Linked DNA regions of Tamandua tetradactyla. The protein of the gene in region 1 purifies or fractionates together with the protein of each later gene. This does not show direct contact. Links are inferred from orthologs where the notes say so. Each region holds a gene or a part of one and is shown in the gene's direction. Other genes may lie near its edges. The genes, in order: CD9 and IGSF8.

Region 1 (15,867 bases):
CCCTTACAGTTTGTTAACCACTCCTAATACCCATATCTCGTTTACTGTTAGCAACAGTAAAGTAGGAGTTTGTATAAAGCCTATTTTATGGATGAGGAAACTGAGTCTCAGAGAAGTAGAGTCATGTTTCTGGGGTAAACATGCACTGTGGCTTTGAATTGTGACATCGAATTCCAAACCCCAGGCCATTTTCTCATTGCTTCTCCACCCTGGTATGCTGGAACACAACACACACACACACACACACACACACACACACACACACACACACACCAGAGCTTCTGCTGCCCCTCCTTAATCCAGATCAGCTCCCAGAACAACCAGGGTCAGCAGTCATAGAGTGGACGGGAGCTGCAGCTGCTACAACAGGGCCAGCATTGCACCCCACCATGCAAAGGGCATGGACCCCAGCTGTCCCCACCCCACGTGGTGGCAGGACAGCCATAACGCTCCCTGCTCTGCAGCTGTGGAAAAGGGGGTCCAGGAAGGAACAGACACTAGTAGCGGCAGGGCCAAGGTACAAACTCACCACCTCTCATCAGCCCTGAAGACTCAGAGAGTGAGCTTTCTGGAAAACACCTTGTTCTAGTTTGCTAGCTGCTAGAATGCAATAGACCAGAAATGGAATGGCTTTTTAAAAGGGGAATTTAATAAGTTGCTAGTTTACAGTTCTAAGGCCAAGAAAATGTCCCAATTAGAACAAGTCAATAGAAATGTCCAATCGAAGGTATCCATCCAGGGAAAGATATCTTGGTTCAAGAAGGCCTATGAAGTTCAGGGTCTCTCTCTCAAGTGAGAAGGCACATGGCGAACACAGTCAGGGCTTCTCTCTCGGCTAGAAGAGCACATGGCGAATACAGCATCATCTGCTAGCTTTCTCTCCTGGCTTCCGGTTTCACGAAGCTCCCCTGGAGGCATCTTCCTTCTTCATCTCCAAAGGTCTCTGGCTCGTGGACTCTCTGCTTCGTGGTGCTGCAGCATTCTCTGCTCTCTCTGAATCTCCCATTCTCCAGAACGTTTCCTCTTTCATAGGACTCCAATAAACCGATCAAGACCCACCCAAATGGGTGGAGACATGTCGTCACCTAATCCAGTTTAACAACCACTCTTGACTAAATCACATCATCCAGGGAGATGATCTGATTACAGTTTCAAACATACAATATTGAATAGGGATTATTCTACCTTTATGAAATGGGATTTTGATTAAAACATGGATTTTCTAGGGGGCATACTTCCTTTTAAACCAGCACACACCTTCAAGATGGCATAAATCCCTAGAGGTCACCTGCAGCCCCCTCACCCCCCTCCACCAGCAAAGGACAAAAAAGGCAAAGAATAGTGCCACAGTAGCAGGCCCACTCACACATGTACACTGCCCCCTCCATGAGGCAGGTTAGTACCTGAGCTCTGGAGCCAGGTCACTTGAGTTCAAATCCTGCTTCTGCTGATTTCTAGTGAGTTAAGTTACCTCTTTGTGCCTCAGTTTCCCCATTTGTAAGTTAATAAGACTATCAACTCCATAAGGTTGGATTAAATGGGTTTATACACAGCAGTCAGAACAATAACTGGTACATCATATATGCCCAATCGAGCATTAGTTCTTTAGACATTTTCTTATGTAGGGTTTGGAAAGTACCTACAGAAACAACAGGATTTAGTAATCCAGTTAGGAAGAATGCTTTCTTTTTTTTAAGATGCATGAAACGGGCTATTCAGGACAATATCTGACAAGTCTAGCAGGTGATTCAGAAAGACATCACTGCATGCATGCAAAGAGAGATGTGGTCAATTGAATCATGTACCCCAAATGAATCAAGGCATTCTCTTGATGTTAATCTGTGTTCCTGTGGACTTGGACCCATTTATAAATAAGACATTATTTTATTTAAGGTGTGGACAACTGAACAGGGTAGGTCTTAATCCCTATTCCTAGAGGCCTTATAAAGAGAAGAAACCAGAAGCCAGAGGAAGAGAAGGCTACAGGGATAAGCAGAAATCATCCAGCAATCCATGAAACCTTCATAAAATTCACACTATTCATAGGTTGTTTCCACATTGACTGTACACGTGATCGAGCCAATGAAAAGAAGTTATGGGTGAGAGCAGAGCAGCCCAAGGCAAGACAATCCCACTGAGTTTGCAAGGCAATCAGGCCAATGATGTGTGCAGACTGGCCAGGTGAATGGCAGGGATACAGGAATGAGGTTGGGTTGCAAGGACCTGGCCCCATCATAAGTGGTGGCAGGAGGAATGAAACATGAAGAACTAATACTGGGCTTGGAATCAGAAGACCTGGCGTCCGATCCTTATTCTTCCACTAAATCACTTTATCCTGCTTTGGCTTGGCTCATCTTCATATTGGACAATTTACGCAGTACCTACCACAGTGACGCGAGAGATTCCAAGGAAAGAAAATCACATTGTCTAAGCATGTGTGAGACTTAGAGGGATAGGAAGGAGTCACAGATGACTAGAGGTTTTGAGGCTGACTGATGGGAAAATAGGGGTATGGGGACCAAAGAGAAAGAAAGTCAGCTTCGGGTATAGGGAGGTCCCCAGAGATTATGAGTTCTGATCTCAATGTGTATCTTCTATAATTGCATTACTTTCCTATTGCTAGTGTAACAAATTATCACAGGTTTTAGCACTTTACAGCGGTGCAGGTTTATCTTAAAGTTCTGAACCTAAAATGCGTCACAGAGCTGAGTTTATTCCAGTGGCTCTAGAGGAGAATTTGTATCCCAGCCTTTTCCAGATTCTAGACACTGCCCACATTCCTTGGTACATGGTCTCAAACTTTTGCTTCCTTTACATTCCTTCTCTAACTGACCTCCCCGCCTCCTTATAAGAACCCTTGTGATTTCTTCGGGCTGATTGGAGGTGTACTGGTTTGCTAATGCTGTCGTAAAGCAGCATCCAAAAATGCAATGGCTTTTATAATGGGAATTTATTATATTACAACAAACAATTCTAAGGCCATGAAAATGTCCAAATTAAGGCACCAATAAGAGGTTACCTTCACTCAAGAAAGGCTGATGTCATCTGAAATACCTCTGTCAACCGGGAAGGCACATAGCTGTGTCTGCTGGTCCTGGTTCCTGGTTCGTTGCTTCCAGCTTCTGATGACAGTGGTTTCCTCTCTAAGCATCTCTGAACCTTCACTTCATTCCTCCTGGACACAACTCTGGGTTCTGGCTTACTTAGCATCTCATGGGAGGGCACATGGCAACGTCTGCTGGGCTCTGCCTGGGTCTAGGCATCTGCTCTCTCTGTCAGCACTCCAAGCATCTCCAAACATCCATGTCTCTGTCAGCTCTGAACCTGACAAGAGTCAGCTTCAGCTCCAAGAGTTTGCATCTGAGATTTCTCCAAAACGTTTCCCCTTTTGTGGGACTCTAGTAAACTAATCAAAACCTTGAATGGGTGGAGTCACATCTCCATCTAATCAAAAGGTCACACCCACAATTGGGCATGCCACATCTCCATGGAGATAATCTAATCAAAGTTTCCATCCTACAGCATTGAATCAAGATTAAAAGAAATAGCTGCTCCCACAGGATTGGCTCAGGATTAAAACATGGCTTTTCTGGGGTACATAATGATTTCAAACTGGCACAGGACAAATCCAAGAAAATCTTCCCATCTGAAGATCCTTAACTCATTCATATCTGCAAAATCCCTTTTGCCGTGTAAGGTAGTGTCTTCACAGGTTTCAGAGACTAAGAGGTGGACATATTTGGGGGACCATTACCCTGCTTACCACAGTCACAGGAGGTCATTAAATTAGACGTGTCTAACAGACCCCTGAATATCATGACTTGAGTTTAGAGAGGTCAGCTAAGAAGAGAAAATGGTGGGAGGCACAAGAGGGGATGAATGCTTGAAGAGAAAGCTGACAGAGAGGAGCAGAGAGCTGAAGACTAACCCCTAAGGAAGAGCCAACACCTTCCAGTTATTCCACAAGCATTTACAGAAGGCCTACCCTGAGCCAATAAGGGACTAGGGTAATACAGAAATTAATCAAATGCAAGTGGACTCTAGAGAAACTCACCACCAAAATGTGTATACAACAAGAGAACACGATCGAGGTCAATGAATCCTGGAGGGGAGAGATTCAAACAAGGTAATTCATGGAGGAAAAGATTGGAGTGTTCAAGGAGGGCTTCATGAAGAGATAACATTTAAACTTAGTAAGAGGAGCAGCAAAGATGCTTCTAGAACAAAGGAAGTGAGGCAATGATGTAGCACCAGGAACACAGAGCAAGAAGTGTCTAGAAAGAACAGATGGTCAGCAGGGTCAAATGCTATGGTAGCATGAAGGAGAAAGCAAGCCCCAGATGACCACTGAATGTGCTGGTAGGGAAAACCTTGGTGGCCTGTGAACGTGTAGTTCCTGCCTGTTGCCTCACAAAGCCATGTTCCACTGCTGCAGGGATAAGCAGTCCCAGGGAGATGGGTGTGGCTGGTCAAATCTCACCACCAGGGGGCACACAAGAACCAAAGCGGGCCCTTAGCTACAAGGGAGTGGGGTTGGGTGGGGTGCCAGTTTCCAGAAAGAGAGGAAAAGTTTTCCCACTCCAGCATCACAAAGCCTGGAAGGCCTTGCTGCCTCCATGTGATCTCTGACTCAGGGGCTTACCCAGATTTTCCTCTTCCAGTTGAAGCAAACCAAATTTTTTCCATCTTTCCCTTTCTTGGTTGCTGTAGCAATAAAAGCCTATAACAAACACCTTTTGGCCCAGAGTCTTACCACACATGGAATGTCAGAATGGAGGGGACCGCCTGCACCTCCTAATCCAAACACTCATCAGAGAGCCAGGAGAGCAGACAGAGGCCCAGAGAGAGGTGACTTGCCCCCAAAAAACCAAAGGGTCTCTTCACTCCCAATCCAATATCCTTATCACATTAGAGAGACTCCCTTGAGTAAATGCAGTCTGTTACTTACTTGTAGACCACCCCAATTGCTTCTTGAGTATAAAATAATATCAATCCCCAACAGTTTTTGAGCACTTCTCTGCCAGGCACTACTATACCTTCACGTGGGTTAGTTACCTCATTGAGACGATAGAAGTCGCTTCTATTCTAAGCATAAACAATTACCCAACTCCTCCCATTTGTGCTTGTTAATGCTGTTTAGAGATAAACAAAGATTTACAAAGATAAAATATTTTCTTTCCTCAGACTGTTGTCTCTAGATCGGTGGACTTGGCTGAATGCAGTACGGTGGAACATTATTTTCCTGTCTATCCCACAGTGCCTCAAAGGCTGCTGTGTGTGAATGATCCTCAGTGGATGCTAGATTAACGTGAGTAACTGAAGTAAAAAAGCATCACTAAAATTCCTTCTGCTTGACAACTTGTAGCATCAGGTTCAATGGAAGAGAAACCTCTTTTCCCTGCAAACTGCCCACTACTGGTAGCTTCCCAAGGGCAGCCAGCCAGTGTGTGGCTTCATGCCTCTGTGCCTTTGCACATACTCTTCCCTCCACCTGGAATTCTGTCCCCCACTTCATCTGCTAAGCCACCTTCTAAAGTCAGCTGCAGTGTCCAGAAGCCTCCTCTGATTCATGCAGACTTGGAGCTTGGGCCCCACTTTTTCCCAGGCCACCTTTTCCCCAAAGTCCCATGGGTTTGTACTTGTCTGTTAATGGGTCTCTCCCCCTTGCACTGGGATTCTTCCATGTGGCATAGAGATGGTTAATCTCAGTATCCTCAGCATGTGGCACACTATGTAACACAAAATAGGTTCTCAATAAACATGAGTCCTCTTAGTCTCCAGGTTCTCTATGACTCCACACACCACCCTCAGCACATTGTCTGGCTGTGGGTCTATCTCCCCACTAGACAGATCCAAATCCCTTCTTTCAGCTCTTGCATGTAAAAAGTAGATACCGAAAAATGTTTTTGAATGGATGAATGAATGAATGAATGAGATAAGTTTTTAAATAATACTACAGAGTAGAATAAAAGATACAAGTGCTAACCACGCCCTTTCTGGCAGGTGAAATTAAAAGTTATGTCCTTTCCCTCCTCGTTTTTTTCCTGATGTTTCTGTAAGGATCATGTTTTGCTTTCATAGCAAGAAAACACTAAAGGAAGTGTTGTTTTGAAAAAGAAAAAAGTACAAGGAGATTTAGGGCTCAAAAAAAATGGGAGGGGGGAATCTCATCCGGTGGAGAGAATCAGAAAAGGGGCGTGTATCTAAGGAGCCCTAGAATTTCTACAATGGAAGAGGGGAGGGCCAGCGGGCCACAATACATCATGTGCGGAGCTGGGCCACGTGATTGCAGAGTAGGGTGAGGCTCTGGGTTGGGTGGAATGGAGGTATTAAGCCATGGAATGTGGGGTACTCCAGAAAGCTCTTGAGCAGAGGAGAAGCATGCTCAGATCTCGGCTTCTGGAGCATTAAAGAGGTAGCAGAAGACAGGATCAAAGAACAAGGCTTGAGAGGGAGGGTGGGATGAAGGAGTCCAGGTAAGAACCAACACCTGGTCAAAAGCCTCTCTCTTCCGCTTTCCAAACCAGCCGGTTTGGGGCATCGAAACCACACATCCAGGAAGCGCCCCCAGACTGCCCCAACCTTCAGCCGTGTTACTACCCGGAGACTGATATTTGCTCATTTCCATAAACTTCCGAGCTGTCTTCCCACCTAGACTGCAAGCCCATAATTCCTTTTACTCCACGGTAATGTGCCAAATAAAAGTATGCTCAGTGAGTGAAAGACTGCCGGGAACCGCCCAAGAGAGAAATCAAGCCAGAAAGTTCCCTTCATATCGAGGCCAAAGCAGTAAAAGCTTTTATTCAGGTGGCAGCCAGCCCTGGATCAGGGGCCTTTAGAGCAGACGACCTGGTGAGTGTCTCCCGAAACAGAGAGCTCGAGCGGGATGCCCAGAGTCAACACCGGCAAAGCCAAGAGGGAGGGAAAAGCGGAGGTCTGGGAAGACCTCAGGACTGTTGGGAGGAAAGCGGAGGAAGAAGGAAGATAGCTGGAAGAAGGGTTCGGCCCACTCAGTGTAGAGAGCGCTGAGCCGGAGGAAGGAGTGCAAAAAGGGAAGGGGCGGCTGGGACGCGGGCCTGGTGAAGCCCGGAGCAGGGCGTGGGCGGGGCAGGTAAGGGGCGGGGCGGGCGGGCCGGGAGGCGGGGTCTGCAAACCCCCCCCGCCGCACATGCGCACCGCACCCGGCCGGGCGCCGTAAGGAGTGGTACTTTTTAAAAGTGCAGCTCCGAGACCCGCTGGCACCCGCTAGCACCTCTGCGTGACGCCCGGTCCTGCCAGTCCCAGCGGCGCGCGACCCCGTCCCACCAGTCCGACCCAGTCCTGTCCAGTCGGCACCATGCCGGTCAAAGGAGGCATTAAGTGCATCAAATACCTGCTCTTTGGATTTAACTTCATCTTCTGGGTGAGTGAGCCCGACTGCCGCACGCTCCTCCTCGGGCTCACCTGTTCCCGGGTCCTAGGACGCGCGTCCCCGAGGGACACTGTCCGCGGCCCAGAGAGCCGGCAGCTGGCACTGCCCGCGCCGGGCAGACACCGAGCAGGAAAAGAAAAGACCCTGCGGCCGCCAGCTGGCTTCTCTGCGGAGTCCCGAGACGGGTGGGGCGCGCACGTCGTGGGGAGCTCATCCGAAGGCGAGCCGGATGGGGGCAAGGGAGGTTGCTGGTGGGCTGGGGCTCTGGAGACCGATCCCGGCCCTCTCCTTCGCTGGGGGGTTTCGGCTGGGGTTGTGTCTGCTCCCACCCTGAACCCCTCCTGGCAGAGGAGGGGAGGGCGGCGGGGAGAAACGGAGCACCCCTCTTCTGGGAGCTCAAGGTCCCTGGCCAGGGAGGACCGTGGCGGGGGCGGGTGGTGGGTAGGGTGCGGTTCGCGGCCGGAGTGGAGTCTCACCAGTGGTCGCGACTCGAGGAGGGGCAGATGCGGGCGCTGGGAAAGACAGGGGTGGAGCAGGGAGAGCTCCGCCAAGTCAAAGTTGGCGCGTTTGTGCTGGAGGGGAAGGGGCACGCCGGCCGGGGGTGTCCGAATGACAGTTGTCACGAGGTGTTTTTCCGACACTTCCCGGATGGGCAACAAAGGGGGGCCACAACCCCTCCCACCTCGAGAGGCACCTCGGAGGCCCCCATTTTTCAGACTTTAGCGCTGAGCCACCGTGAGAAAGTCCGAGCTCCCTCAGAGCTACTTGAAAGACGAGCTGGTCTGGATTTTTTTTTTTCCTTCTTTTTTCAAGGGCGATAAGTATCTTAACTGGTGAGACCTCTAGGAGAGTTGGGGAGAGGAGGAGGGGAAGATCCCTATCCGGTGCCTCTAGCCCGAGTCCGGTATTTCTCCATTTCCGGTTGGTCGGGATCAGGTGGTGACCTCGCCCCCTCCTCCGCCGCCCACCCATTAGCAAGGCGGGGCCACAGTGCGGCTCACCTGGAGAGCGCACTCGGGTAGGGCGCTCCTGGGACACCCACTGCCAGCCACATTCAGCCTGTCTGCAAATGGGACTGCCCAGGGAAACGACAGAAAAGGAGAGCCGCTGCTTCACACCTTCCCTTAGGGGATTAGGGAAGCACACAAGGACAGAAGCAAGAAATTGGGACTTTTGTGTCCTGATTCTGAGGGCCACATCCCCTGCACACAGGGAGACAATATTTGCCCCTCTGAGGACAGGAAGAGGGTTGGAAAGGCTCGTCTGGAGAGCCCTACCAGCAAGAGGCTTGTGATCCCCATGGAGCTGGTTGCAGAGGTCCCCACAAATTACTAGGCAAATCTCCTAAGATTTCATCCTGGCCCCTGAGCTGAAAGGGTGGTAGGAGAGCAGTTCTCCAGCCTGCAGAGACTGACCTTCCCTTTTAAGAGTCACTACATTGGTGCCGCACACACCCTAATAAGGACGGTGCAAAAGTATGCCCCTGCCTGCAGTCTTGGTCTTCTCTTGGGAGTCCCTGCCTGCAGTGGGTGCCCCCTCCTCCTCCTGCTCCTGTCAGTCCCTGTGGCTGGCCAGTGGCTTGGCTTTCTCCTCTCACCAAACCTCTGGCACCAGAAAAGAATGCTGGAAGAAGGCCACCCTACCCCACCCATGTCCTTTGAGGAGACTTTTTCTCTTTTTCAGTACTGTCTATTGGTCAACCCTCAGCTAACTGCCTAGGCCGCATCACGGTTTAAGGAGATGGAGAGAGACAGACATTCCAGACTGCCATGATGTCTCCATGTACCCGCCCCCCATCTGCCCAGGACCACTCCAGTATTGGCAGGCTCTTGCCTACTCACCCCAACCTGCCACCCACTCGTGTTTAGAGTTGCCGCTGCCTGGGCCAGGTGCTGCTGGTCAGCTATGGAGTCTGAAAGAGGAAGGATGCACTTTCAGAATGTTTAGGTTTAGAGTTGTGAATGGCTTTAGAGACCATCCAGTCCAGTCCTCATATTCCCTGTAGGAAGATGAGAACCAGAGAAGGATCTGATTTGGTCGCGTTCACACAGCTATCCAGAGACCAAGTCAAGGCCATGAGCCCTAGATCCCCTATTTCAGTCTGTCCTCCACCGTCACCATCACAAAATCAATAAGGTAATGGATTGGTGTAGGGAGGTGAGCTGCAACTATGTTGTCCTGAGTTAATTATTGTACTGTTACCATGTACTGGGGTCTCTGCAGAGAGTCAGCCCCTGTTCCCCAGGAGATGATGGAATAAAGGAATACTGTGATCCACGTGGACAGTGTTTTACAGGCTGCAAAGTCCTTTCTTTTCCAAAACCCATGATGTAGCCAGAGCAGGAAGCATTATCCCCATGCTCCTGTGATCAGGCAGTTGGTCTCCAGAGAGGGTAAGTGGCTTGTCCAGAGTCAAAGCAGACAGTATTAGAAGTTTGAATGCAGGTCTTGTTGGCTTCGAGTCCAGCACATTTTCCATCACAATGCATTGCCTTGCAAGCTGGGTTTGGATGCTGGGTGGAAATAGAAGAGTGGGAAGAGGCTCTCAATATCTTTTAAGGAAACCTATGAGCTTGGATTATTATGCTGTCAACACTTCCTTTTCTCTCTTGGGACCAAGAATTTTTAGATTTGTTGTTGGAACCAATGTGGACCTTGAGAAGTAGGAATTGTAGGGCCAGAGGCCAACTGATGCCTCATGAACAGAGAACACTGAGAGGAGATGGCTGGAGTGGGTGCTGTTTCCCAGACACGTCTCTCATCCTTACAGGATACTCAGTGACAGCCCATCCTGGGCTGCTTGCCCTCCCCAATCAGGCCTTTGATGCCCACAACCAAACTAGCAATCAGTCTGTTCTCCCAATGCCCCTGGAACACTTCCTTCAGTCCTCTCTACCCACCCACCCCCCAAAAAAGGTGGAGAGGAAAAACATCTTACCGGTATCAAAGGGATAGATCACACACATTTGTCAAGCTGTAAAATGGAAGACCAGGGCTAGGGACGTGTGCCCCATTCTATCTCCCATTCCCTTCTGGCCAATCCTAGGCCTCCTCAAGGTCAGGCAAGCAGCTGAGCTCCTCAGGGCGAAGAAGGGAGCATGGTGGCTGAACTGAGAGAGCTCTACCTCCCTCTGCTCCTATGCTCATTGCCTCTACCCCATATTCTCTCTCTCTGATAGAAATATTAGAGGTTTCTCTCTCTCAAGAAACAGGGTCTCCTGACCCCAACAGAGGCTGCTTGGACACAAGGACAGGGCACTGGACTGAGAACTCAGAGATCTGGATATTAGGCCAGCTCTGCCCCCTTCACCTGGAAGCCTTGGGCAAAGGTCGTTTTTATGCTCCAGACATCTCATCTGTCAAACGAACGGGTCAGAGCGAATGGTCTCTCAAGATCCCTTCAAGATAAGGATATGAAACCAACCCCCAGCCCAGCTGCCTACACAATGGGACTTTCCCACACCACCCTAAATAGGAGTCAGGAAACACAAGTATGCCATGAGTACTAAGGCTTGTCCTTGGAACTCAGCTTCACTTGAGAAGCCTTCACCTCCAAATCTAATTCTTGCCCCTCTTTCCTCTCATCTCACAGTTCCCCCTGTTCACCCTGGGTGGAGTCCCTCTGCTTAGGGGTTCCCCATAAAGAGACACCATTTCCTTATTTTTCAGATGTTTGTGGTAGGACAGACCGAATGAAGCTCTGGGGATTACTAAATGCACAGTAAACTTGTAACCGATTGCTGCTGGTTTTTATTGGTTGGGGCAGTGAAGAGGGGAGGGAGCAATTCCCTGAGGAGTGTGGAAGTCTGAACCCCAGGTGTAGCCAGGAGCACCTCCGAACCCACACATTTGCCTCCCTTCTTTTCCTTCTCTCCCTGCACCAGTGCTGGCCTCACTCAGGCCACCCCTGTCTCTGCAGTGCCCACATCAAAACACTGACTCCATTTCATGTGTGCTACATGTTTGACTGTGTGGTGGCTCTGTCTGAAAATAGAACTGCATGGCAGAAAAGCCCTAAGACATCAGGATTCTGGATCTGGGCAGAGTATGAAGTAGGTGGGGGACAGGGTTGCAGAAAGGCCCTGCCCCCCAACCTGCAGCTCCACCCAGAAGCTGGTTGGGGCAGAGCAAGTGGCTAGGACTGTTGCATGAAATGGCTTCCCTCTGGCACGCGGCAGGCCTGAGCTGGCAGAAAAGCTGGCTATTTGTACTGCGGCTGGCAGGTTTAGGAGAGGTGAGGTGAGGCCAGGTAGCTTCATCTTCTGAGGAAAATACAACTTCTCTCCTGGCCAGAGGCGTTATGGTTTCTCCCCACCCTCCTCCCCAACACACAACCTTTTCCCATAATGGTTGTCTAAAGTACAGATCTGATTCCTGACCTTTTTCCACATGAGGGGAGGTTCTCTACACACACATGCACACACACACACACACACACACAAACCCCACCCTTTTCTTTCACAGTGGCCCACAGCATTATCCCAAACCCTGCTCTTTTGTGCCCAAAGGAAGTGGCTCTTGGTTGAGACCCGAATTTGGAGCTACTTTAATAAGGCCACCTTCCCAGAGCCCTTAATCTTCTAGATGAGGCTTCTGTGGCTCGAGACCTCACAGATCACCCTTCTCACACCCTCCTTTTGGTAGGAGCGTTAGACGTGCATCTTCCCCCTTATACACAGAACAAAGCACTTGTGTTTGTTTCTTCTGTTCTCCTGTCCAGTTCCATTTTATAAGGGGGTGTGGCTTTTGGACTGGGTGGCACAGTTTGGAACTTAATAATACCTCGGATTTACAAAAGCACCTTTTCTTCTAAAGAACACAGGCCAGATGCAGTGCCTGTCTGGCTGCATCTGGCCATGACGGCAAAAGCTCTGAGGTCACTGGGTCTCCTTGGCTTCTGGGTCCTGCTGGGTCCCCCTGGCTGGAAGCGTGTTCCCAGGTAGACTGTGGGGTTGGGGGAAAGAGGGTGAAGTCTGGTGTCGAGTGAGTCTGGGCTTCTCTCCAAGTCAGGCTGCTTCGTCTTCCCTCCTCCTTAACCAGGCTGATTATCATCTCCTCAGAAATCTAGATCCCCCATAGTCCAGGGGCAGGACCAGAGAAGGCCAGGCTGAGCCTTCTGGTCTCCTTATTTATTTCTGCATAGTTACGTCCTGAGTGCCACCCTCCCCCAGGGAGGCATGAAGTGGATTTTATTTGGACCTACTGTGGGTCTTTGCAACCAAAGCCTTGAAGAATGGTGATGATTTCAGTATTTCACGATTTGAAAATTGGGATAAGACCCTGTAGAGGCTCCCTGTAGGAACCCCAAACCAGGAGAGATCCTTTGCAACTGAAGGAATTCAGGAGACCAAAATGGCTAATCTTAATATAATATATATTCTTTAATTTATATATTTTTAGTCCTAACTACAGCTCACTTGCCTGTTTCATTCTGTGGAAAAAGTAATGCTGGTCCAGGGACATTTTCATTTTCCATCAAATGATGGCATGCAGCTGTTGTGGAAAGCTTCATCCTGCCCTAAATAAAATAATTTTATAATAATTACACCCATCTGGTAGTTTCCCTTCCCACTCACCCCATCCGAACCCACCCCACCCCCACCCCAAGAAAAAATCTAGCTGTGGATAGTTTTTAAGCACCATATGTCGTCATCTTGGTCTAGTGGATCTTAACCTTTTAGGGAATTTCACGAATCCAATGAGGCCTACCTCCAGGAAATGCCCATTTTATTGCCTTTTTTCTGGGTTTTCCTCCATTGGTGTCCAGACAACCCCTTCTGGGTTCTGAATTCAGTGTTTCTGCCCTGAGAAGCAGGCTGCCTTGCTGTTTGCAGGGGTGACATGGGAGAATTATGAGGGAACTTCGAGAAAGGCATTACAGAGTCTGAAGTTCCTATGATGGTTGCAAGCAGCTGAAACGGGAGGTCTGGCCTCCCCACCCATCCTCACTCTGACTCTACGCTTCATCGTTGCCCAAGGAATAGCTTTGAACTCTCGATTAATTTAATGAGTTTTGTCCTGTGTTTCTAATCTATATGAGGTGTCCAACTTTATGAGCTTCCAGCCAAGTTTTGCCTCTTAGGTTAGGTTTTCCTCTAGCTTTTTCCACTCCCAGTCTGTTCTCTGTGTTGATGCCCTGATGCAGAAATAACACAATGCAGGGAACATAGGTTTGTCTTTGTTCGGGAACAGCAACATTCTGACGTTCTCTCCTTCTTCCCACCAAATGGAGACTGGAAAGCTCAGCCTGACCGGTTCTGGTCCTGCCCTGAAGACTATGGGGAGGGAGAAGTTAATGTCTCATGGAGAATCGTTTGAGGATTTGGACTCCTAAGGAGAGATACAATAAGCATCCTAGTTAAGGAGCAGGGGGAGATGAAGTAGTCTGACTTGGAGAGGGACTCAGAGCCATTTGATTCTAGGGAAGGGCCCTGGGTAAAGTGGATTGGGGACTACTGACTTGGAGAAAAGTGAGAAACTTGGCTTTAAGGGGCCTTCTTTTCAGTCTTCTTGCCAGATAGTGTGCAGGCAAGCAGAAATGGTAGCTCTTGTACTGTTAGAAAAGTTATCATCCAGAGCCCTCCCAGTGCACAACCAAGCTTCCAGTGAGCTCCCCTTGGGCCGTTAACACAAAGCAGGGATCATAGGAGAAACTTGGGGTTTTAAACACCATGAAGTAAATTGAATAGTTTTACTGGATTCAAACCAGATTTCTATAATATTTTCATTTATTTTTAAAGTCACATCAGTTAAGTCAATAAGATAATAAATGATAACATTGACTTACGTAAATTTTAAATCAAAAGATCAGCATGTTTTCATACCTATTTATGAACTCATTACTTTCCAAGTCCACAAAAGTTCGGTGTTGATGGTATATTTACAGATTTTAATTGAAATCCCTTTTCCCCGTCTGTGTGTGGTGCTTATATGCCCATGCACCTCAGCTCAGCGCCCCCTCAGAGGAGTGCCTTAGGGGTGGGGGACCCACCCACACCTCCCTCACCTGCACCTCCTACCCTGACAGAGGAATGTTGGAGAGATGAGATCCTTCCCACAAAGGATTCTCTCCCAAGGAATGCAAATGACTTCTTGCTTGTGTTGTGAGGCAGTGAATTTAAATCTATTCACATTACACTCACCTTTTCTTTTTTCCCACATTTTTATAAATAAAAAAGCAATAGTTTTCAAAGCACTCTTCAGCAAGTAGTAATAGGACAGATCCCAGAGTTTGTCATGGGCTACCATACGATCCTCTCAGATTTTTCCTTCTAGCTGCTCCAGAATATAGGAGGCTAGATGGCTTAAATATTTTTTTTATCACCACATTCGGCTTTCTTTCTTTCTTTTTTGTGAAAAATAGCATATATACACAAAAGCAATAAATTTCAGAGCACAGAGTCACAATTAGTTGTAGAACATATTTCAGAGTTTGACATGGGTTACAATTCCACAATTTTAGGTTTTTACTTCTAGCTGCCCTAAGATACTAGAGACTAAAATAGAGATATCAGTTTAATGATTCAGCAATCATATTCATTTCTTAAATCCTATCTTCTCTGTATAACTCCACCATCACCTTTGATCTTTCCATCCCTCTTTGTAGGGGTGTTTGGGCTATGACCATTCTAACTTTTTCATGTTGAAAGGGTCTGTCAATAATATGGGGTAGGGAGATGGAACTATCTGATGTTCTGGAGAGGCTGGCCTTTCTAGATTTCAAGACTTATCTGGTCCTGGGACCCATCTGGAGGTTGTAAGAAAGTTACACTAATGCGTGGAACCCTTGTGGAATGCTATGTATCGCCCTAGGTATTCTTACACTCACACTTTTTAAAGCATTCTTTCTATAAGACTGGAAAATCTTTCCATACTCTACTTTCTGTCACTCCATTTGGCCAACACTTGCCCAACCAGTCAATCGGGTACCACCACCTGGCCAAGTTGACATATGAACCTCACCATGACATCCGCTAAGACACATAACCCTTTTAGAGACCCAGAAAACTTACTCCAGATAGAAATTAGATTCTCTTCCAGTGGTGGGGAAGGACGCTCAGTCCTTCTTTATAGTGGGGGGCTGGCATCATTCTGTCTCAGTGCCTCACACGACCCCATGAAGTGTCCTGTGCAGGGCTAGACCAGAGACCTCTGATAATGCCATTTTGTACCCTTTGCCATTTGCTGGCAGGATGGTGCTTTGGGGAAAGGGTTAAAAGCTCTGGATCCCACTGTGGGGCTTTCCTTTAGGACTTGGAAGGACAATGGCCACTTAATGGGCTGCAACCCTGTCTGTGGACCCAGTTTCCAATAGTCAGCTACAGCAGCATCTCCACTTGCCAAATTTGCCACAGTCACAAAGCTAGGATGAGAAGAAAACATTCCAAGTTCCTCTGGGGTATCTGTTTGCCGGAACAGTGCTTGTGGCCATACTGACATTCTGGCTACTGGAGCAA
Region 2 (16,008 bases), on another chromosome or scaffold:
TCTCTGCACACATGCCCCAGCTTTACTCATAGTGAAGTACAGTGATATATACTGTTCTAGTTTGCTAGCTGCAGGAATGCAATATACCAGAAACAGAACGGCTTTTAAAAAGGAGAATTATTAAGTTGCACATGAAACTGTCCAAATTAAAGCAAGTCTACAGAAATGTCCAATCTAAGGCATCCAGGGAAAGATACCTTGATTTAAGAAGGCCGATGAAGTTCAAAGTTCCTCTCTCAACTGGAAAGGCACATGGCAAACATGGCGACATCTGCTAGCTTTGCCTCCAGGCTTCTGGTTTCAAAAAGTTCCCTGGGGGCGCATTCCTTCTTCATCTCCAAGGTCTCTGGCTGCATGGGCTCTCGTGGCTCTGAAGCTTTTTCCAAAATATTTCCTCTTTTAAAGGATTCCAGTAAACAAATCAAGACCTACCTGGAATGGGTGGAGTCACAGCTCCCTCTAATCAAATGTTAATACCCACAATGTGCGTCACATCTCCATGGAGATAATCTAATCAAGTTTCCAACCTATAGTGCTGAATCGGGATTCAAAGAAACAGCTGTCTCCACAAGATGGCTCAGGATGAAAACACGGCTTTTCTAGGGTACATATCCTTTCAAACCAGCACATGTACATTCTCATTTCATCTGCACGACAACCTTCAAAAAACGACGAGGCCGGTGCTATTATAATTCTTATTTACAGCCAAGGAAACCAAGGCTAGAGAAAGTCAGGAGCAAGGTCCAGGCCACACAGTGGGTAAATAGAAGTCTGCTTGAAGCCAAAGCGTGCCGTCTGGTGTTGGAATCCCAGCCCCAAATGGTTGACTCAGTTGGGACCAAGAAGCTTCCATTTCATTTCCTCACCTGAGCTCCGGATTGGTAACCTGCCTCATGTCCTAATTTTTAGGTTTGTTCTGTCCAGCCCCCTTCCCCCAGGAGCTCTGGTTCAGGAGGTGGGATCCTCCATGCCAAGGGTCTTTCTGAAGACCTGGAGTGAGCACGCCTGCTCACGCGGACTCACCATCACTCTGTCCTGCCAGGTGGGTGGATCCATACACACCCTGTCACTTCCCAGCCACGCGTGTCTTCCCTACGTGACCATTTACACTACACAGAGGCAGCGTGGCAACACGGCTAAGAGTTTGCGCTATGGAGTCGGAATGCCAGGTTATGACATCCTAAGTCCACCATTAATTAGATAGATTTTTTAGCTTCTCTGACCTTCAGTTCCTTAACATCTCTAACTCAGAGAGTCATTCTGAGTACAAAAGTGCTCAGTGATGGTTAGCTACCATCCTTGGTTTCCAATGTCCTGGCCTTGGGACTGCAAGTTCCTTGTGTGCTGTCTGTGATCACCAGCACTCTCCCCTCCTCAAAGGACAGACCTCATCCCTTCCCAGGCTGCCCAGGAAGCCAGACTCTAAAAAGATGTTTCCACCAGCTATGGACGGAAATGACCAGAATCAGATGGACTCCAGAGGGGACTAGTGCCCACCATGGAGGTGTTTTAGCCACCAGAGAAAGGAGTAGATTCCCTCTCTTGTCACTCACTCACTTGCTCATTCTCGCTCACTCTCTCAGCAAATATCTGCTGGACTTCTGCTCCTTGCCAGGCACTGTGCTAGGCATGGGGGCAGAACAGAAAGGAGTTCAAGTAGCCTTGAGTTGCTCCCAGCGGAGAGAGGCAGATGTAAACAAACCTTGTAATTACAATACAGAGTGGGAAACTCTGTGTTGTAGGCAGAGGCCCGAGGTCAGGGTGCTGGGCGGGGCGGGGAGGGAATCTGTGCTCACACTCTCTCCCGTGGTGAGCTCCTTCACCCCCACTGCTCCATCTGTTTCTTTGTTTTAGTAGTCTTTATTTCTGGCTTTGTTGTTCCGTCACTTTCCTCACAGAGAGTCTTTGGAAAAATTCCACCCTTGTTTCAGTTGGACTAAGGGAGAGGAGAATCGTCCACTCTTTAGCCAGAATAGCCAGAGGGTGCCAGATTCCTGGGGAGTGCAGGTGCAGACAGGAGGGGGGCGGAAAGAGCCTGCAGCGCTGGGGCAGGAAGGGGTGAAAACTCAGGAGGAACTGAGCTTGGCTTCCAGAGATGAGGTGATGCCCCCCCAAGACCTCCCTCCCAGAGCTCCACCTCACCACCCCCTCCCCTGTCCTGTGCTCTCATCGGAGAGAAGAGTCAAGGCACTCTCCCACCTCAACCCACTCTCACCCCAGCTCCATTCCTCCTTCCCCACCCGAGGCACCCTCCAGGGCTGGGACCCCAGAGTTAGAAGTGAGTCTTCTATATCGTTTGCAGCAGAGGGCTGTATGTGTGTGTAGTGTGTACACGCGTGTGTAAGTGCGCCCAACCATCAGACAGTTTCAGCCCCAGGCCTCCAAGGTAAATTTAGTAAACGGGGCTTTACTGTCAATCTCCCTTCATTCCCCCTCCCCCCATTCCACCATACACACGTGCAACCTCTGCATTGTTTCCTCTTTTCCTGGGACCCAGCACTGCATTCATTCAACAAACATATACTGGAAATCCGCGATGTGCCAGGAGCTGGAGATACATTTGTTATTTCATAAGTTTGCAGAGTCACCAGTTGTGTGCGTGTCTGTGTGTGTGTGGGTGGGTGGGTGGGTGGATGTGCATATGTGAGAAAGTATGAGCTGGCTAGAGAAGCAAGAGGCAGAAGAATCTTAAGAGCTTAAGTTCAGGAGTCAAACAGCTTGGGCTTGAAGGCAGGTGCTACCACTTGCTAGCTCTGTAGCCCTAGGTAGTTTATATAACTATCTGTGCTTCTGTTTCCTCTTCTGTAAAACACAGATAATAATAGTACTTAGCTCGTGGGGTTGCTGTGAACACTGAGTGAGCACGTGCCGAGTGCTAAGAAGTGCCTAGTGGAGGGTAGGTGTTTGGTAGTATTAGTAATTAGTGTTGCTTCCCTCTCACCTCACTCGGAGCTGGGTGCAGACAACCTGTAAATGACCCAGCCCCCGAATCTGTCTCTTGCTCAGCCTTACTGACTCAGAGGCAGCAGCTGTGCTAACCACCTCCAGTCCCCCACAGCTCCTCGCATCAATCACCCTAACACACCGATGCCTTCTCCTGCCCTCGACTGATCCCCGAACCCCAGGCTCGGGGAGAAGTGAAATCACACTGTGTGGACTGCCTTGGCCCTGTACCACCCTCTAGATGTATATCTGCACCGTCAGTTCCGTCTGCCCTGGCTGGGACTGGAGGAGAGGGATGGGGAAGCACCTGGGGTGGAGCCCAACCTCCCAGCCCGATGGGGCTGGGGATGGGGGAATTCATCAGGGGAGGGAGGCCAAGGGGGTTCTGGCTCAGAGGGACCCATCCCTGGCATTCCAGAGTGGGTGGCAGCTAACACGAATCCTGGGCATAGGATTCCTCAGAGGTCAGGGCCAGGCTGGGCCTCTGATTCCTCAGAGGTCATGGCCAGCAGTGGCACCATGGCACCCCATCCTTGGATTGCTGTGCCGTCCCCTTGGCATGGGGGTTGTGAGCTGGGGCTGGAGAGTAAGCTCAGCCAGGGCAAGAGGTGGGTTCAGGGAGTAGCTACACACACACACACACACACACACACACACACGAGTCCACCGGGGAGGAAGGAAGGAGAAGATCGAGTGTGAATGTATGTATGTGCATGTGTGTGAAAGGGATGGTTTGTGGTCCTGTGAGCGTGTTTGGTGTGCACAGGTCTGTGTGTTTATCTTCCTGTGTGCCTGGTCCCCAGGTGTGCACCTCTGTTTCTGCAGGTTCCTGCTAAGCACATGGTCAGGGTGAGGGCAGGTTTTTGGCTCTACCTCAGCCTCTATTTCTTCGCCTGATCCTCTCAGCAACGCAGCAGAGAACCTTCTCCCTGTGGGAGGATGGGAAAATATGGCTCATCAGGGCAGTACGGGTCAAGGCTTTATAAGCACACAAAAATTACAGGTCATTCTCGTGTGTGATCTTTAGCTCCCCACCAAGCTGGGATTTACACATATTGGGAAGAGAAAGCTGAGTGTTTCAGGCAGGTTTGAGTCATTTCTATACGTCTGTCTGGTAGTATGTGCCCCTGTTTATTTGACGGCGTTGTCACCCTGTCTCCAGGGCCACACCTGCCTCCGCAGCTCAGCGTGTACTTGTGTGTGCTGTGTCCATGTTTAACTTAGTTTCCAGTGATGTTTATCTTTGAGAAGCAGGATAACAGGGGTTAGAAACACATAATCCACAGACAATCCTAGGTTCAAATCCAAGTTTGGGCAATAATGAGCCCATTAATGTTGGACAAGTCCCTTAGCGTCTCAGGGGGAATATTAATAGCACGAACCTTACAAGGTTCTGGTGAGGACTTAATGAGGCTGAGTTACGTACTTGGCACAGGTCAAAAAAAGTGCCTTATCTATGAAGGTGTCCCTCTCTCTGATAGCCCTGTCTCCATGGCAACCGTTAACTGTGCCATCTCAGCCAGATTAACTGCTTTGGGATACAGAGTTGGTCTAAATTATCTTTAGCGATAGTCATGCCACCTCAGTACCACCTCAGCGCCTTGTACACACATGATCTTGAGGGGTAATGAATTAAAATAAGCATGTGAAACACAGGACGAGTGTCCGACGTATGTGCACCCCTGGCAGTACATGGAGGGCAGCCAGCAGCTGGTCACTGCACAGTGACAGCCCAGCGCGGCCACAGTTGTGTTCCCCATGGTTGCTGCTGCACCCCCCCTCACCCCCACCCCCCACTGACTTTCTGCAAGCCCGGGTCCCCTGCCTGCCTCGTGGCTCTGCCTGGCTCGAAATTCACTGAAGACTTCCCTCCTCCTTTCTCTGCTCATCCCACTGCAGGGCACCGACCTGGGTGCTGGGTAAGCCTGTGGTGCTTTTTAGGGATGAAATGGATGGGTCCAGGGGTGCCCTCATGTCTACACCACATGGTCCTCCTTTGCAGCCTGTTCAGGGTTTTGTATGCATATATGCATGGCTCTGTCGGAGTGTGTGTGTGTGTGTGTGTGTGTGTGTGTGTGACGTCTTTCTGTGCAAAGCCCCTCTCCTTTACAGTCTGGGTGTGTGTGACTTGCCTCGTGCCTGGCGTTGGCTCGCCTCCCCCAGGCTTCCCAGTTACGTAAGTGTCTGACTAGTGAGTCAGGCCTGGGCTCTGGGCTCCCCCTGCTGACGGTCTCTGGAACCCTCCGTGCGCACAGGGGCGTGTGGAAGAAGCTGCGGTTCTCCCAGGCTTCAACCTGGCTGGAGACTTCGGCCCAGCCCTCAGCACCTACCTGTCCCTCCCAGTCCCAGGCCGTAGGATGAAGGATGGCCCCTCAGCTCCCTGAGCATCCCCTCTCGTAACAGGCAGGCTGGAGCTTGGTTATTACTTGTCCCCTGAAGGCAGGGGACCATGCTGGCCCTGTCTGCCGTGGCTTCTCCAGTAGCCAGCACAAGGCCTGGCCAGATCAGTATTTGTGAAATAATGGGTTTATAGGGTGGAGAGGGCTTGGGAAGCAAGACAAAGGGGTTGGAGCTTTGAGGACAGACAAGCCAGGTCTCAAGTCACACTTTGACCACCTACAAGCTGTGTGGCTTTGGGCAAGTTACTTAACCACTCTTAGCTTCAGGTTTCTCATTCGTTAAATGGCCTCATCCTGCACAATACCTAGTAAAGGCAAGAAAGAATATCTAAAAGGGCCTTTCTGTATATGCATTTCATAAATGGCAACTATTATTATTGCTACGACTGGCAATATCTCTCATTCTTTAAGCTTCAGGAAGGCAATAATCCACCTCAGCCCCCAAAGAAAGAATGGTTTTCTTCTAAAAACTTTCCTCTGAATTTCAGCTTTCACATAGCTCAATCTGGCCTGCAGATGATTTAGATGAAAACAGGTCTGGAGAAAGTAGGCTGTGAATATGTCAAAGTGGGAATCAACAGGTACTCTTCTGCCCTGTCCCTGCCTCAGTCCTGGAAGTATTGGGAGGGGAGGGCTGGATGTCTGGTTTCCTTTCCGGGTCTGCAGCACTCCGCCTAGAGCTCCTCCAGGCTCTCCAAGTGCTCCGAAAGTGGTTTCAAGAGGCAACTCCACAGAGCGCCTGCTCTGAGGCTGGTGCGGTGCCAAGTTCTGGGAACAGAAAGTTAAGGAAGGTCTGGTCTGGCCTGTGCACTTCCCCTCTCTGGGCCTGCTTCCTCCTCTATAAAAGAGGGGTGGATGGACAAAAAATGGGTGAAGGGTGGGGGCTGCTAGATGAGCTCACCCTTCCATCCACTGCCACCCTGACAGCTTTAGCTTTGTAGACCTGGCTGTCTCTTCCCACGATTTTGGCCCCACCCCTCCTACCCTTCCCCCTTCTCAATAGTTGAGGGGACCGAGCCCAGAGCCTCCTCTAATTCTCCCACCTCCAGGCCAGGCCCCATCCTTCCCAACGCAGGGTGAAGTCCATCCCTCTTCACCAGAAACAGAGACCCCTTCACCTCAGCCCCAGGCTTATCCTCCCCTTAGGGCGAAACTAAGCCTCTTAGGAAGCAGTTTAAATAGTGATTTAAAAAACAAAACCTACCTCCTATTTCGCCCAGTTGCCCAGTGGCAAGGCCTTTATGTGTATTATTCAATTAATCACGACCCTTCAGGGTAGATGTCCTCGACCTCAATTCGCAGAGGAGGAAACTGAGGTTAAAAGAGGCTAAGCAGCTTGACCAGGCTCACCCAACCGGGAAGCCACGGCGCCCGACGACCCACGCTCCCACCCACTCTCCTCTAGTTCTGCTCCCGGAGGGAGTGGCTGACAGGTCTCCCCTGACCTTCGGGACCCTCGAAGCGCCCTCTAGCTCAGACCCTTTAGGTTTCGGAACGCCTGAGTTCCCCCCATTCCCAATTTCAAGGTTTGCAGCGCGGCCTAGCGGCCCAGAGAAAATAACTGAATTCTAAGTGCGTGGCCACAGTCACCTCACCGACCCCCGGATCCCCGCACCCACCTCGCAGGGAAAGGCCGACAGGTGCGGGGTTGGGGGGATGCCCCCTGTGCGGGGCGGGTGTGAATGTGTTTGAGCCGAGGTGCCGCCAGCTCTGCCGGGCTGCAGCGGTAGCCGGGGCCTGAGGCTGGACTGGGCGGGGCAGAGGGCGGAGCCTGAGATGGGGCGGGGGCGGGGCGGGGCGGGGCCGGACGGAGGGGGCGGGGCCGGGCGGGAAGCGTCTCCGGGAGTTGCGGAGGGCGGGAGGGAAAGCAGTGGGAGGAGGAGGAGAGGAGGGGAGGAGGAAGGCGGCTTGGCCTCTGCCGCTCGGCTCGGCTTAGCTCACCCACGCCTCGCTGCTCTGCTTCGTGCCCCCCACCTGGGCATGCGCCCCCCGCGCCCCCGGTCCCCCCGAGCCTGCGCCGCCCCCCGGAGCCTCCCCAGAGCCGACCGCGCAGAATGGGCGCCCTCGGCCCCACGCAGCTACCCCCGCCGCCGCCGCTGCTGCTGTTGCTGTTAATGCTGGGTAAGCCGGGCCCCTGGCACCAGCTCGCCGGGCAGGTGCCTGCCAACGGCAGCCAGCCCGGCCCACCCTTCCAGCGTTTCCCCTCGCACCCGCTTTCTCCGTCGGAACACCTCCGGCCTCCCGGGGTTCAGTGCCCAGCTGCGCTGTGTGGCCGCCCGCTGAGGCAGTCTTGGGGAGGGTGAGAGCACCCCAGCTCTAGGCCCTGGGGCTGGGGCGCAGCGAGGACCCCCCCCAAAGTGCCGTCCCGAGGCAGCACCAGGCCTCCGGGGACCAGGCCCCACTTCTCAGCCGGCCTACCCAGGCCCTGGAATCTCTGTCCCCAGCTCAGCTTCAGGCGTGGCCTTGGGTGCTCGCCCTGTGTGGTGCCGGCCTATCTTCATAATTGCCCCCGAGTTAGCTGGAGGCCCCGGGGCTGGCTCTGCCCATGATCTTTGAATAAGTCCCCTAATTGACCCCCTCCCCACTTCATTATCTCAGATTGGGGCCAGTCCCCTCTCTCACCCCCTCTGCCCTGCACTGGGTCTCTCTTTGCCCCTCTTCCCCTCTCCCAGATGCCACTTGGTTTTGCAGCCCCTAGCTGGTCATCACACCCCTTAAAGTCTCAGCCTCCCGGCCTCAGAACCCAGGTCCCATGGAGACTGATCCTGGGCTCTCCAAGCACCCTATCTATTGTGGTGGGGTGTTTATGGTGGGATGTTCTGGACCACCCCTGAGTGGCAGCATGGAGGTAGTGACAGTGGGGTTGCTTTGGCCTGAACTGGAGGGCTCCCTGTAGGAGGTGAACTGGGGGAGGAGTGTGGCATCATGAGGGTGAGGGGTGGGGTGTTGGTAGCGGTGGCTCCGGTGGCAGGATTTGGAGCTGCCCTAGTCGAGGCAGACACCTAGCCCCAGCTGCCTTTTCCTAGTTCAGAGCTCCACAGCAGCCCTAAGCTGAGTATCCACCTGTCACATAGGGCCGTGGGCCCTCCATGGCAAAGAGGAGTCCTCTCCATGGAGCTCTGGGACCAAAGGCAGGAGGGTGTACAGAAAGGAAGGCGCTGCGGGGCCCTGTTGCCTAGCACAGATATCGTTTTTTCCCAGTGGGCAGTACAGTACAAAGAGGAGCCCAAGGGAGGTGGGGAAGTGTGATACAGAGAGATGGAAGAGGAGCCGGCCCAGCCCTGCGCATCCACCACATATGGCGCTGACATTCATTTCACAAATGGCGTCATTTCACCAATAAGGAAAATGTAACTTGCCCCACATACCATACCTAGTGAGAGCTGGAGTCAAATTTGAACTCAAATCAGTCTCTCCAGAGCAGGCCTCTTTGTTCTCCCTCCCCTCTCCTTGGTGGAGGAGAGGAGGGGACTTGGCTGGAGAGAGAGAACTACATGTGGCAGCTGGATTTCCTAAGGCTATGGGGGTGACTTTCCCATGGGGATCTCCAGGCATCAGCAGTTGTGGAGCCAGGAAGGTGGGAGGGAACCTTTCTGAGCAGAGTCTGCCCTAAGGCACTGGCCGGGGAAGTTATCAGCTCGGCAGTCTCTGCCCATCACCCTGATTATGAAACGTGCCTCAGGCAGGGCCCTCCTGAGTCACACACTCACTCACTCTCTGAGCTGGAGGCTCTCTGCTCTTCTCCGATGTGGAAACTGAGGCCTGGCAAAGGAAGGGACTGGCCTCAGACCATCCAGCTGGAGTCCCAATTCCCAGCCTCTGCTCAACCAACCAACCGTGAGTTTGCCCCAGTGACTCAGCCACAGGAAGAAGGAGCCAGCAGGCTGGCTGGGGTAGGAGAGGAAGTCAGGAGGAGCTGCTCTGGGTGGCGGAGTTTGACCACAGACTCGTGGCATTGCCCTCCATCCCCTGCAGAAAGGCCATGGGTAACCCCCTGGAAGGCCTGGAAATGAGACCAGTGGTGAGGTCAGTCCCCTCAGACGTCGCCTTGGAGTCTCCCCTTTTACCTCCCTGGACGGGCCTGTCGAAGTCACCCAGGGGCCCTAGGATCTTGGCCCAAACTATATAGTTCTCTTTCCTTACCTTTCACATCTGTAAAATGGGGGAAGGAGGCTGACCTTACATTCTGGGTTTCTGTGATCCTCTCTAGTGGGGGCTATGGAAGGATGGTAAGACAGGAAAAAGAACCTGAGCCCTCCAAGGCTGCCAGGACTTTCTGCCGGGGCTGGGTAGAATGTGGAGATGGAGTTAGGGTACAGATGCAGGGTTTGGCCCCTCTGGGGAGACAGATGCCTGTCTACAGAAAGGAAGCCATATGTGAGTGAATGCCCACTCTATGCAAATGTAGGCTTCCTTAGAGAGTTGAGGGGTGGGGGTGGGGGGTTGCCTTGTGCAGCTGGGCCAGCCTGCAAGGTTGGCAGTTGCTGGGGAGGGGATCGTCTGCCCCTGGAGGCCAGGGCAGAACCTATTTCTTGCCCCAGAAGCCCCAGATGTCTCAGCAGCCCTGTGGGGCGGGAGAAACAGTGAGCTCATGGCACAGCTGGAGGGGGAGGGCATTGTGTGCCAAGAGAATTGACTGGGTCTGTGCCCTGTCTCGGCTTGGGCCGCTGGCTCCATTGTCTGGAGTCTCTTGGCCCAGGTGACACAGTTGAGTCAACCAGCCCTTTTGAGCAAGAGTTTGTCAGCTCCCTTCAAGCAAGGGAGGGGAGACAGGTGGTCTCAGAATTCCTTAGCCAGAAGGCTCCTCTGACCAAGCTCTGGTGGAGTAATGGCAGACACTGGGGGAAGAGGGGAAGTAGGGAGTAGAAGTGGGAGGTCGGGGGTAGGCATAGATAGGTATAGTTGGAATTGCTAAGTCAATATCAAAGCTTCCCTTTCTGCCCTTAGGGACTCCGCTTCTTGTCTTCCAGAAATGGGTTTTGAGGCAAGATTGGGCCTGTACCCCTTTCTTGAGACCTAGGTGTCTTACCTCCCAGCATCCTTTCCCTGCTGTCAGAACAGGACCTAAGCTGTCTGCCAGTTACCCTCAGGTTTCTTTGCATTCATGGGCAGGGGTCAAGAATGGGTTGGCAGTGGTGGGGCTAGAATGGTGACCCAGGCACCCCCTTCTCCTGCCCTGCCCTACAGGAGTTGGATGCTCTGCCCGGGAGGTGCTAGTCCCCGAGGGACCCTTGTACCGCGTGGCTGGCACAGCTGTCTCCATCTCCTGCAATGTCAGTGGCTACGAGGGCCCTGCCCAGCAGGACTTCGAGTGGTTCCTGTACAGGCCCGAGGCCCCAGAGGCCGCACTGGGCATTGTCAGCACCAGGGACACCCGGTTCTCCTACGCCATCTTTGGGCCCCGCGTGGCGGCTGGTGAGGTGCAGGTGCAGCGTCTGCAGGGTGATGCTGTAGCGCTCAAGATCACCCGCCTCCAGACCCAGGATGCCGGCATCTACGAGTGCTACACGCCCTCCACGGACTCCCGCTACCTGGGCAGCTATAGCGGCAAGGTGGAGCTGAGAGGTACTGGGCCCTGGGTGGGGGGTCAGGGCCATACCACCCTAAAAGTAGATAGTCAGGACCAGGAGGGACTTGAGAGTTATCTAACCACCCCTCAGATTTTGTCCTGAGGAACCTGTGGTCTCAAGAGGTTATTTGACTTGCACAGAGTTCCCCAGCAAGTTAGGACTCAAATCCAGATCTCTTCATTCTGTCCATCGCTCTTATTGAGTCAGGGTACTTCATGGGAGGAGAGGTGTCCGTAAGCTGGTCAGTCCCTTCTCTAGTCCCTGTAGCCTGAGATTTGAATGACTCCACCCTGGAGATTCCTGGGGGGCGAGTGGGGGACAAAGTAGAGGTAGAGTAGGAGAAGTTAGATCATGTGACATTCTCACTTTCTTAAGTTTCTTTGTCTTCTGAGAAGGAAGACAGAGCCACTTTTTCTGGGTATATCAGAAAAATACTTGGAGGGCAGTCCGAAACAGAGTAAGTAGGATTAGGCTGGTTCTATTAAATTCAACAAGTATTTATTGAGCGCTTGTGGTGTGCCCAGCACTGTGCTTGGCACGTGTGGATTATGGAAGAAATACAGCATGCCATCTTTGTCCTCTAGGAAGTCACAGACTAGGGAAAAAGGTTGGATACACAGGAAACAGTAAGAAGAGCTGCTAGTTCCCACCCCTCCTTCACTGCAGCTGTTCTCTCCAGTTCTTCCAGATATGCTGCAAGTGTCTGCTGCCCCCCCAGGACCCCGAGGCCGCCAGGCCCCAACTTCACCCCCTCGCCTGACTGTGCACGAGGGGCAGGAGCTGGCACTGGGCTGCCTGGCACGAACGAGCACACAGAAGCACACGCACTTGGCGGTGTCATTTGGGCGCGCTGTGCCCGAGGTGCCAGTGGGACGAGCGACCCTGCAGGAAGTGGTGGGACTCCGTCCAGACTTGGCTGTGGAGGCCGGTGCTCCCTATGCTGAGCGCCTGGCTGCCGGGGAGCTGCAGCTGGGCAAAGAGGGGACTGATCGGTACCGTATGGTGGTGGGGGGCACCCGGGCAGAGGATGCAGGCACCTACCACTGCACTGCCACCGAGTGGATTCAAGATCCCGATGGCAGCTGGGCCCAGATCGGGGAGAAGCGGGCTGTCCTGGCCCACGTGGACGTGCAGACGCTGTGTGAGTCCCACAATCCACACATTCCAGGGTGGGCGCTGGAAGGGGATGCATCTCAGTGGGCACCATGGCCATTGGGGGTGCAAGAGGGCCACCATCTGACTCCGGGGAATCCGTCTGCCCTGGCCTGAGCAGCCCTGTTGGCATGACTTCCCTCTCTACCCATGATGGGTTTTCTCTGCTTAGAAATTGGGTGTGGAGTTAGGAGAACCATAGCTGAGGGATGAGACTCAGACCCCTGAATGGAGAAGGTGGTTATACGTGGAAGTTGGGGGACCCAGTGAGGGGCAGATGGGGGCCTCCATGTTGCCACTGTCAAGGAAAGAACTCTTGTTGGGGACTCAGAAGCCTCTGGCCCCCCTTCTGCCTCCATAATACCCCTTTCCCCCTCCTTTGTTTCAGCCAGCCAGCTGGCCGTGACAGTGGGGCCTGGTGAACGTCGGATTGGCCCAGGGGAGCCCTTGGAGCTGCTGTGCAATGTGTCGGGGGCACTGCCCCCGCCAGGCCGTCATGCTGCATACTCTGTGGGCTGGGAGATGGCACCAGCGGGGGCGCCGGGGCCTGGCCATCTGGTAGCCCAGCTGGACACAGAGGGTGTGGGCAGCCTAGGCCCTGGTTACGAGGGCCGGCACATTGCCATGGAGAAGGTAGCGCCCAGAACCTACCGGCTACGGGTAGAGGCCGCCAGGCCGGGCGATGCGGGTACCTACCGCTGTCTCGCCAAAGCCTACATTCGAGGGTCTGGGGCCTGGCTTCGTGAAGCAGCCAGTGCCCGCTCCCGACCCCTCCCTGTGCACGTTCGGGAAGAAGGTGAGAGGTTTCTGGGGGTAGGTAAGGGGATGTCGGCCCCTTGACAGCTTAGGTGCTTCTTAGGTGCTTCCTTCTATTTCCATGCCCTCTCTCCTGCTTTAGCCTTTCTCCCGTCAGCAGCTTCCATGCCTTAGGGTCTCACGCTCTTCTTCCGATTTTGTGGCAACATCCTGAGTTCCCTGGAGTATTGCTTTGACAGCAGCCCTGACCCCATGTCCCCTGACCCTTCACCCTCCAACTCCATGTCCTTTGTTCTGCAGGTGTGGTGCTGGAGGCCTTGGCCTGGCTAGCCAGAGGCACGGTGTACCGGGGGGAGACCGCCTCCCTGTTCTGCAACATCTCTGTGCGGGGTGGCCCTCCAGGCCTGAGGCTGGCTGCCAGCTGGTGGGTGGAGCGACCGGAGGAAGGGGAGTTAGCCCCTGCCCCTGCCCAACTGGTGGGTGGCGTGGGCCAGGACGGTGTGGCAGAGCTGGGGGTCCGGCCCGGAGGAGGCCCTGTCAGCGTGGAGCTGGTAGGACCCCGAAGCCATCGGCTGAGACTCCACAGCTTGGGGCCGCAGGATGAAGGCGTGTACCACTGTACAGCCGGTGCCTGGGTGCAGCACGCCGACTACAGCTGGTACCAGGCAGGCAGTGCCCGCTCGGGGCCTGTCACAGTCTACCCCTACATGCATGGTGAGTGAATCACCACCCTCCCAACTCCAAACCCCGGCTGTCGTCTAAGGCTCCTGCCACTGTCCTCTCTTTCTCATCCTCATCATTTTACATGAAGAGTCTGGAAAATCCAGCTTTCAGCCATCACTACCCATCTGCATCTGGGTCCTTTATGGTTGGCATGGACTTGGCTGCCGAGAGGGCACGGAGTAGGCGGGGGGGGGGGGCTTGGAGTGGGGAGGAGGTGGGTCCAGTGAACTTGATGAAAAGGATGGCAGGGGGTGGAGACAACGACGTTCCAGCCTGAACAGAGCTGTTCTCTCTTACCCAGCTCTGGACACCCTATTCGTGCCCCTGCTGGTGGGTACAGGGGTTGCCCTCGTCACCGGCACCACCATCCTTGGCACCATCACTTGCTGCTTCATGAAGAGACTGCGAAAACGATGATCCCTCCCCAGGTGAGGGGACAGAACGTCTCCCCAGCCTTGTCTTTCTCAGGCCTTCTACCCACAAGTCCTGAATTAGCTCTCCCTCCAGTCCCCCCCCGGAGGAGGAGCAGCCGCTCTCAGCTCTGCAGGGTCCTGCTGATGGGTGGGGCCAGTGGGGCACCCTGCAGAGCTCCTTCTCCTGAGCCCACTCCACGCTCTCCAGTTGCTGCAGGTGTCCACCGTCTTCCTGCCCAGCTCCACGCTCTCCTCCGGTTGCCTGGATACCTTCTCCCTTTGTTGGCCCTTCCCTTAATTTATTTGACCTATCCCCACCCAGAGTGGGGGACAGGCCCCAATTTCCCCCTCCTCTGCCCCCCACCCCCAAGTGGAGAGATCCCAAGCTCCTCTCTCTGGCCTTCTGCTCTTGATCTCATACCCATCCCATAGAGAGGCCATTCCCTGTCCTAGAATTGGTTTTTCTAAAATGTGAATAAACTTGTTTTATAAAATCCAGGACTGGCTGTGTCTTCCCTTGCCACGAGGCTGAAAAGTAGCAGGGAGGCTGTTAGGGGTTGGCAACCTATTCCGGACGACCCGGGCTTCTCTTCCCACTACAAACACCATCTGGCCGCTGTGGGCCATGCCACCCACCCCGGGAGGGGGCACCTGGGTCCCATCTGCTGTCTGAGCTGTCAGTGCTGAGCCTTTGCCTGAACGGACTCGTGTTGCAGGAGGGGGTGCCCAGAAAGAGAGGGAGGGGCCCAGCTGAGCTGGGTCTCGCCCCCCAGCCTTCCCCCAGGTTGTAGGGTAGAGTTCCCAAGACTTGTCACAACACTCTGTGGGCTCATTCTCCTGGTCTGGCTAACTGTAAACCTGACTCCTCCTATCACAGCCTGGGGGCCTCAGCCCCTTTCTCCAGACCTTAATTATTCTGTCTGAGGGCAGCCAAATAGAAACCCAGAACATAGCTGCCTGAGAGGTGGGACAAGACAGTTGGAGAGGGCCTTTGTGTCCTCAGAGCTCCTGCATACACCCAACCCCATAGCCTGCCCCCCCACCCCCCCCAGGTCCACCCCTCCTCCAGTGCCCCCAGGTACTCCCTGAATTTGCCATTACCCAAGGATTCTCTGTTCCTAGAGTTCTTAGCCGTACAGTGCTTTAAGAGGCATCCATTCTACCTCTCTCAATTCAATTATTTAAACATTTATTAAGCATCACTAGTTGCTAATCGTTATTTTTACAGATGAGGAAACTGAGGCCCAGAGAAGTGATGTGACTTGCCCAGTCATGGAGTTAATCAGTGACACTGTCAGGACTAGAACCCAAGCCACCTGACTCTCGGTGTGGTGGTCTTTGCACTTCACAGCAGTGACCGAGTGGTGGGGGCAGATGTGTGGTGGGGTCTCAGTGATTTCCAGGGGCCATAAGGGGCTTGTCCCAACCTATTTCTCTGCCTGTTCAATTGCAATGGGTTAACTATAGTGTGGCTTTGTATGTGTGTGGTTGGCAAATGACCCACCTCCCTACTGTCCACACTCCAGTTGTTTCATTGAATTAAACCCAAATGACTCCCTATCCCCACCCTTCCAGTTGTTATTTTTCGGTTGTGGGGGGAGAACAGCCAATGCCATGGGTTGGGAGATTCTACCTTTACTGCTAGTGACCCAGGTGGCTCTGTGACCCGAGGCAAAGTCTGTGCCCAGAATGGAGGGAAGGGACTGGGGCTGGGGCAGGCCCCCTCTCTGCGTGGCCCCAAGCTGGGATGGGCTCCTTCTGAGACTCCTTTCTGCTTCCAGGAGGCCCTGGTGCACTGTGCCCCACAGGACCCCAGCTTCCAAGCCTGGAACAGAGTAGACTAGGGTGCTTTCCCTCAAGGGGCTCAGGCTTTTATTGAGAACAGAAGTGGGTGTAGAGAAATGGAGGCCCTTGCTGGGCCCCAGCGGCTGTGGGTCTGGGTCCCTTGTTGGAGGGCTTGCTTGCCTTGGCCTACACTTGTCTCCCAGGAGGCCAGCTTCCAGTCCCCTAAACCCTTTGCTGCTGCTCCATTTGCCCTTGCTGTTCCTTTAT

The links.
Region 2: the proteins of CD9 (region 1) and IGSF8 purify together in Homo sapiens (affinity purification with mass spectrometry; 5 studies listed by BioGRID and IntAct, counting the BioPlex papers as one, with this or other methods). This does not show direct contact. The link is inferred for Tamandua tetradactyla from reciprocal best matches to the Homo sapiens genes CD9 and IGSF8.

The regions. Positions count from the first base shown.
Region 1 is NC_135333.1:68,454,745-68,470,611, forward strand, and holds the start of CD9 (CD9 antigen), read left to right. Parts: upstream 1-7,171; 5' UTR 7,172-7,336; coding exon 7,337-7,402; intron 7,403-9,680; exon of another isoform or gene 9,681-9,804; intron 9,805-15,867. UniProt on the Homo sapiens protein: Integral membrane protein associated with integrins, which regulates different processes, such as sperm-egg fusion, platelet activation and aggregation, and cell adhesion.
Region 2 is NC_135330.1:13,133,920-13,149,927, reverse strand, and holds IGSF8 (immunoglobulin superfamily member 8), read left to right. Parts: upstream 1-8,317; 5' UTR 8,318-9,088; coding exon 9,089-9,179; intron 9,180-10,529; coding exon 10,530-10,907; intron 10,908-11,591; coding exon 11,592-12,053; intron 12,054-12,452; coding exon 12,453-12,860; intron 12,861-13,120; coding exon 13,121-13,534; intron 13,535-13,844; coding exon 13,845-13,960; 3' UTR 13,961-13,971; intron 13,972-14,050; 3' UTR 14,051-14,450; downstream 14,451-16,008. UniProt on the Homo sapiens protein: Member of the immunoglobulin superfamily (IgSF) that links tetraspanin-enriched microdomains to the actin cytoskeleton and plays several important roles in innate and adaptive immunity.